Linked DNA regions of Sus scrofa. Each later gene encodes a partner of the first gene's protein in a complex. Links are inferred from orthologs where the notes say so. Each region holds a gene or a part of one and is shown in the gene's direction. Other genes may lie near its edges.

The links.
Region 2: the proteins of ACAD9 (region 1) and ECSIT are in contact, whole or in part, in a cryo-EM structure (PDB 8PHE), measured with the Homo sapiens proteins. The link is inferred for Sus scrofa from reciprocal best matches to the Homo sapiens genes ACAD9 and ECSIT. Residues at the interface, in NP_054768.2 of Homo sapiens: Leu180, Thr181, Asp188, Ala189, Ala190, Ser191, Ile192, Lys228, Lys239, Asp240, Lys241, Ile242, Phe293, Ala296, Met297, Leu300, Ile431, Met434, Tyr435, Leu438, Thr439, Leu441, Gln442, Gly445, Thr449, Leu516, Gly520, Lys521, Ile523, Met524; in NP_057665.2 of Homo sapiens: Pro321, Glu322, Glu323, Trp324, Asn325, Leu326, Tyr327, Tyr328, Pro329, Met330, Leu332, Asp333, Leu334.

Annotation. Positions count from the first base shown.
Region 1 is NC_010455.5:71,419,871-71,422,902, forward strand, and holds the end of ACAD9 (acyl-CoA dehydrogenase family member 9, mitochondrial), read left to right. Parts: intron 1-46; coding exon 47-173; intron 174-357; coding exon 358-435; intron 436-846; coding exon 847-975; intron 976-1,015; exon of another isoform or gene 1,016-1,171; coding exon of another isoform or gene 1,172-1,206; intron 1,207-1,607; coding exon 1,608-1,680; intron 1,681-2,099; coding exon 2,100-2,200; 3' UTR 2,201-2,522; downstream 2,523-3,032. UniProt on the Homo sapiens protein: As part of the MCIA complex, primarily participates in the assembly of the mitochondrial complex I and therefore plays a role in oxidative phosphorylation.
Region 2 is NC_010444.4:70,167,911-70,172,235, reverse strand, and holds the start of ECSIT (evolutionarily conserved signaling intermediate in Toll pathway, mitochondrial), read left to right. Parts: upstream 1-1,473; 5' UTR 1,474-1,623; intron 1,624-4,325.

The DNA of each region.
Region 1 (3,032 bases):
CTTGAGCACTGATGCCTCAGCTAACAGGGCCGTGGGCTCCCTGCAGGGAGCTGAAACGGGGCAATGTGACCACCGTCATGGAGACCGTTGGCCGGAGGCTTCGGGACTCCCTTGGCCGAACCGTAGACCTGGGGCTGACAGGGAAGCTTGGAGCTGTGCACCCCAGTGTTGCGGTGAGTGGGCCCAGCAGGTGGACATCCCCATCGGTGTCCCCTTCCCAGAAGAGGTGCAACGGGGGTTTTGGGGAGGGCTGCTTGATGCCCCGTCTCCGCCCTGTCCGGGTGGAGAAGGGCCCAGCCTGGTAGCAGGGCCTGAGACTGCGGGAGGACCATGCTGAGCAGAGCCCCCCGCCCACAGGACGGTGCCCACAAGCTCGAGGAGAACGTGTACTACTTCGGCCGCACAGTGGAGATGCTGCTGCTTCGCTTTGGCAAGGTACCTGGGGTCAGGGAGATGCGCCAACATCCAAGTGGGACCAAGCCTAGGAGGGAATCTTGGTCTCCATGGAGGGCTGGGAGACCCCTGCTGGGAGGGCATCTTCTGGGTGCAGAGAGGCTTCTTGGAGCAGGACAGGCAGCCCTACCTGGGCCTGAATCTCAGGACCTGTTCTGTGAGGTTCTTGCTGCTGAAGTGACTTTAAGCCCTGGCTTCTAGTCTCAGCCAGGTGTCCGGGACATGGACTTGTCTTGACTTCTGCCCAGATTTGCACAGAGCCGCCGGGAGCCAGCCTCCCACAGCCCGAGGGGAGGGCAGTGCATGAAGCTCAGAGACGGCAGAGGGGCCCAGGGCAGGGCCTGTGTGAGGAGGTCCCAGGTGGCGAGTCTCCACCCTGCCCTCTGTTCCCAGACCATCGTGGAGGAGCAGTTGATCTTGAAGCGAGTGGCCAACGTCCTCATCAACCTGTATGGCATGACGGCTGTGCTGTCGCGGGCCACCCGCTCCATCCGCATGGGGCTCCGGAACCATGACCACGAGGTGAGAGCCCCCCGCTTCTCCCCACAGGCAGCTTCCCTGCTGGCTTGTCATGCTGCATTTTAATCAGATGTGGTGGTTGTGGGGGGAGGGGGCTGCTGTGCGAGTCCAGGGTCATGTCCCCAGAGGGATGAAGGCGAACCTGGAGAGTTGTGGCTGTGTCCAGTGCTCTCAGCTCTGATGGGCAGGTCCTTGCTGCTCAGGACATGAGGCCACTGCCTTTCATCTTCCTGCCTGAGAGAAGAGGGAGGGTGAGTGGCGGGGCCCCACATCCAGCTCCCTCACCCCATCTCTTGGTGGGCAGTGCAGCCTGAGCACCTGCTGTGTACACGCGTGTCTTGACGCACTTTGGTCTGAGAAGCCCGGAGCTGTGGGAATTATGATTCCCTCCCACAGAGGGGGAAATGGAGGCTCAGGGAGGTTGAGTGACCTGCCCTGGAGACAGAGTCCCTTTGGCTCAGGCTGGAATCAGAATCTAAGGCCATGGCCTGACTCTGGCCAAGCTGCCTACTTTGGCTGACAGACTGTCTTCAGAGGCTCGAAAGTCAAGCGGGGGCGGGGGCGGGTGGGGGCGTGTCCTAAGGCCCAGAGATCTGAGTCCTCAGCAGCCACTTCTATGCCTTGGGTCCTGCCAGGTTCTGTTGACCAACATCTTCTGCACGGAAGCCTATCACCAGAATCTCTTCACCCTGTCCCAGCTGGACAAATGTAAGTGGGTGGCTTGGGGACAGGGGAACGGGGCTCCCAGGGCACTGTGCCCACAGATGTCTGCACCAAGTGAGGCTGCCAGCAGGAGCGCACACAGCAGGTGCGGCAGGTGTTGGCTTTGGCCTCCTCACTCCTTGCGCCCCATCTGACCCACCCAGGGAGGAGCACAGGGTTCTGTGCCCTCTGGGCTCTGGCGGCCCCTCTGTGCTGAAGGGCTGTTAGCTCCTGCTATGGTGGCTGCGGCGGAAGGGGAGTTGACAGGCTTGAATTGCTGAGGGGGGCTTTTTATCCCCTCTTCTCCCTGAGGCCCAGAATCACTTCCTGGGGAGGAGCTGTCACCTCTGCACTCCCTCCTAGCAGTGGCCTTATGTGGTTAGAAAAACTGCACAACATAGAAAGGCCACTCTCTTCTCTCCCAGGTTCTCCAGAAAATCTAGACGAACAGATCAAGAAAGTGTCCCAGCAGGTCCTAGAGAAGCGAGCCTACATCTGTGCCCACCCTCTGGACCGGATGTCCTGAAGTGGAAGGACAGTGTCCCCTGCTGCCACCTGCCCCTGGACACGCTCACACTTTCCAGAAGGCAGAGAACTTGGGTCCTTAAAGGCTGACCATTTCTCCTCCAGCCCCTGACCTGGGGGCACTGCTGCCTGACATCCCACCAGACTCCACGTGGCTTCTGGGAGAGTGAGAACTGCTGAGATTCCCTAGCTCAAGGGACACCCTTTGCCACCCCACTCAGGGTGGGACCAGGCTTGTACCACCCCCTCTGTGGCCTGGGCTGGCAGGGACATGCCTCAGGCAGGGTAGCCGCTTCAAGAAGCAGTTCATACATCACCTGGAATCCGTATGTGTCATTCTTTTAAACTAGAAGCAAAATGCACTTAAAATATGTTCAACGAGAACTCTTTAACAAAGAGAGTGTAAAACGGCACCAATTGTTAGTTTAGCATTTGCCATACTAGGCATGTGTTTCCTCACAACCAGCCTTTAGCACGTGGCAAGTTGACCCTGAGAGATCCACACTCTGGTGACAGCTGTAGGGTCAGGAGCCCTTGCCATTGGTCCTTTCCAGGTAAAGCTGCTGGTCTGTGGCAAGAGATGCTGCTCCCAGCTGGGCTTTCCTCTTGTTCGTCATGGGGACAAGAGACGTCTTTCAGAAGCACGAGCAGGACTCTGTGTGTCCAGGTCCCAGCATGCTCACCTGGCAGGCTTCAGGCTTTGGTCTGGTTCCTGGGTGGTCTGTGCTCCAGAAAGCCCATCACAGCCAGCAGCCAGGCTCTCCCCCTCCTCCAGGTAGGATTCTGCCTTGGCTGGGGTGATGGGAACCGGTTCGAGAGCTGTGCTGGTTCTG
Region 2 (4,325 bases), on another chromosome or scaffold:
TATGGTTGGGTGGACAGTCAAACACAGAGAGAGGCATAGGAACACACCACTGTCACGCACAGACATAGCCCCACAGTCAGAATGGACCACTGTTGAGGCACAGTCATAAACACACATTGTCATATACTGTCACTGACATACCGATGGTGGAGGGGCACCCATACGAGTCACACCCATACAAGTCAGGGACACACAGTGTTACAAACACATACCAACAGCTGGACACAACTACATAATGGAATCCCACATCAGAGACCACCCCAGATTGGCATTGTCAGTCAGACCTTTATACCACCGCTGAGACACAGAGTTTCACACACACACACACACACACACACACACACACACACACACACGAAGTCAGAGATTCATATAGGTACAGGCACACACTGGTAGACACAATCACACACAGATATGTAAAGGGCTATAACAGTCACATGTGTCTTGATGGTGGGACAATCATTTATCCACAAGTTGGGGACACATGGGGTGTCATAAACACAGTCATCTACCCACTAGTGTTCAGACATGCAATCACACACACATTATTGCATGGACCATCAAAGAAATGTTGACACACCTAATCCCAGCCCCTCAGAATTCTGGGACAAATTCCACATCCTTCCACACACACAGAATGACAGACACCCAGAAGCTGATACAATCACAAGTGCACATGCAGCTACTGACACGTGGACACACAAAGTCCCACATGTACCAATGTCCACACTGACACACGTGGGGACTATCCCTGACCTACCCTCATACAGCCACACACAAACGTACACACCTTTGTTTGAGTTCTGAGAAACTACGAAAACCCATGAAAACATCCACACTCTATCGCAATCTCACACACACATACGCACACACACACAATTGTGAACATGCACACTACCCTACAGGATCCTCAACCGTCCAAGCGAGGGAGGTGGAATAAGGTATTAGTGTGAATCCCCCATAATAACAGTAGCAAACGCTTACATGGCTGTTCTGCATAGATTAACTCCATTATTCCATAAAACAAAGCCCAAAAAACAAACAAAACAAAAAACAAAAAACCTCTACGAGGTTATTATAATTGGCCATTTCAGAGGTGAGACTATTGAGGCACAGACAGGTTAAGCACTAGTCCAGACTCCAGGAGCTAGATTAGCAGTCCTTCTTCTTCCCTAACGTCAGCGCCGAATCAGCGCCTGGCACACAGTAAGCCTTCAAATGTTCGTTGAAAAAATGAGGGAATCCACATTACTTAGACCTTTAATATTTCATTCCCGTATTTCAGGTGGGCACTAGGACTGTCAGTTGAGTTCACCCGCTGCCTGAGTCCAATGTCCCAGCTCCGAAACCGCACAGTCTCTCCTTCCCGAACCAAGCTCGCTCATTCGTGGGGAGTCCAGCTTGCCTCGTTAGGGGAGGGGCCTGACTCACCACGAGGCGGGGCCAAGGTCGCTGCGCCTTTTTATTGGTGCTCCTTTCTTCGAGGCGGGACCTCTCTTAAACTGGCGCTGTTGATTTGCCGGCTCCCTGGTGGCCCGTGACCCAGAAGATCTTCGTGCAACATGGCGGCGCCCAGGGGCAAGACATAACCGGCCCGGATTCCGCGGCCGTCCGCGTGAATAGGTAGGTCCCACGCGGGGAGGCAAGCGTGAATTTATGAGCCCTGGGGCAGCCCCTTTGGGGCCAGCAGCGCGGAAGGGCGGCCCCAGGAGGATCCCGGCTGCCGGGGCCAGGGCACCGTGACCTTTTCGGGTACACGGCGGGACGTTCCGAGGAGAGCTGCCTTCTGTGTACCCGCCTCCCCACATCCCTAATCTCTAATCTTGGAGATGAGACAGCTGAGGCTCAGAAAAGTTAAAGCCGTCTCCCAAGGTCACGCCACAGGTTGGCAGCTAGGCTAAAGTTCGCTTCTTTCTCCCAAGGGCGTCAAAATCCTAGCAGCCAGCCTCAGAGCTGCTGTAGGTACACCCTGCCTAGGGGTTCAGATTTATAGAAGCTTTGTAGAAATTTAGCTCTTCTTATTCATTTGATATTTGTTGGGTACCTACTATATAGCAGGCACTATCCCAGGTGCAAAAGAGACAGCAAAAAGGAAGACAGACAAAAATCTCTGGTCTCAGGAGAGCTAGACGTTGAACAAATCAGAAGTAAATGAAACGTGACTTCAGATGCTAATTGCTAAAAATTCATTCATCAGGATGATGGGGCTTTAGATTGGGAATGGGGCAGTAGTCAGGGAAGGCGTCTCATTTGAATATAGACCTGAATAACCAGGCACAGCAATGAACTGACCTGGGGAAGGAATTTCCAAACAGGGAAAAGCAACCTCAGAGGCTCTGAGACTAGATAAAGTCAGCTTGTTTAAGAAACAGCGTAATGGGAGAGTTCCCTGTTGGTCTAGTGGTTAGGATTCAGAGCTTTCACCTCTGCAGCCTGAGTTCAACCCCTGATCTGGGAACTGAGATCCCACAACAAGCTGCTGCACACTGCAGCCAAAAATAAATAAAAATTAAATAAAATTTAAAAGAGAAATAAATGGTGTAGCTGGAGCTTCCAGTAATAACAGTTGAGTTTGGAGGGATGGAGCCTGTCTGATTTTTATCTCATGTGATGTGCAATTAGTGACTTTAGCCGGAGAACACTTTAGTTTACATTTTAAAAAAGCTCCCTATGACCACTTTAGGGAGAACTGGCTGGAGGCAGGTAAGGAAAGGAGTGTGGGTAGATGAAGAGAGGTCATGGACTGGAGTTGTGGCTTGCAGATGGAGAGAAATGGGATTGTTTGAGGTGGATCTGGATGTAGCAACATGAGCAGCTGATGAATTGGTTGGGGAAGTGAGGAACACAGTGGACTCAGAACCAGGTTTGTGGTTGATTGACTAGGAATGATGGTGTAATGACATCAGGCAAGGATGAGATGGAACAAGTTTAAGCAGGGGCATAAGTTAGGCGCAAAATAAGTTTGAGATGGCTAGGTATACACCAAAGTGGCAGTTAGGTATGGAAGCTGGAGCTCAGGGATGGTGATAACCATTGGGAACTATCAGCACATAGATCTTCATTTCTCAGACTTTAACACACATAAGAGAAATGTGGACTTTTGTTTAAATGCAGATTCTGCTTCAATAGGTCAGGGTTAGGGCTGAGATTCTGCATCCAAATAATGATGCCAATACAGCTGCTCCCTGAATAGCAAAGGTTTAGATTAAGGTCTAATCTCAGCTGGATGTTAGAGTCATTGGAGTGCTTTAAATGCTGATGCCTGGGCCCTACCTCTAGATATTCTGATACAATATATCTGGGGTATGGCCTGGGCATGTGATTCTTTAAAGCTTCCTAGATAATGCTGAAATGAACAAGGTTTGAGAACTATGAGAGCTGCCTACAGAAATACAGAGAGAACACCTCTCTTGGAAGCTGAATGATACCTTACGGTAGCAGACAGACAAGTTCAAAGTGTAGGACTCTTTGCAGCATTATTACTCAAAAGACAGCATTAAGCATCACATAGAAGTTTGTTAGATTAAAAAAGTCTTTGGCTCCACCCTAAACATTCTGAATCAGAACCTGCATTTTAACAATATTCTCAGCAATTCATCTGCACATTCAAGTCTGCAAGCACTGCACACTTTAGAGAAGGAAGCCAGTCTTTCTGATTGGCTGAGAAACAGGCCTGGGGGCTAGGAAGAAAATCAAGAGTGCCAAGGTGGGAGGAGGGCATCACCCATTCCAGATACTTCTGAGAAACTGAGCAAAATGAGGCCAGAGAAATAACCACTGGCTTTGTTAAATGTAGAACGTGCAAGGGGTCTTTACAGGAGTGGTGTCAGTGGAGTGGCTGGGACAAGAGCCAAACTGGAGACAGTGAAGAAGTAACATGTAGACCCCTCTTGGGAAAAGCTGTACTATAAATAGAGCAGAGATGTGGAACAGAGGTGGAAGGAGATGCTAGAGAAAGTTTAAAGGGTGATATGAGTGATCCAAGTATGTACCAACTTATTTTATGAGGCCAGCATTACCCTGATACCAAACCAAACAGACACAATAAGAAACAAAAACTACATCCCAATATCCCTTACCAATATGGTTGCAAAAATCCTCAACAGAATACCAGCAAACCAATTTTGGCAACATAAAAAAAGATTATATACATCATGACCAAATGGAATTTATCCCAGAAATGCAATATTGGTTTAATATTTGAAAACCAATTAATGTAATGTACTTTTCTTTTTTGGTCTCTTTGGTCTTTTTAGGGCCACACCCGCAGCATATGGAGGTTCCCAGGCTAGGGGTTGAATTGGAGCTGTAGCCGCTGGCCTACG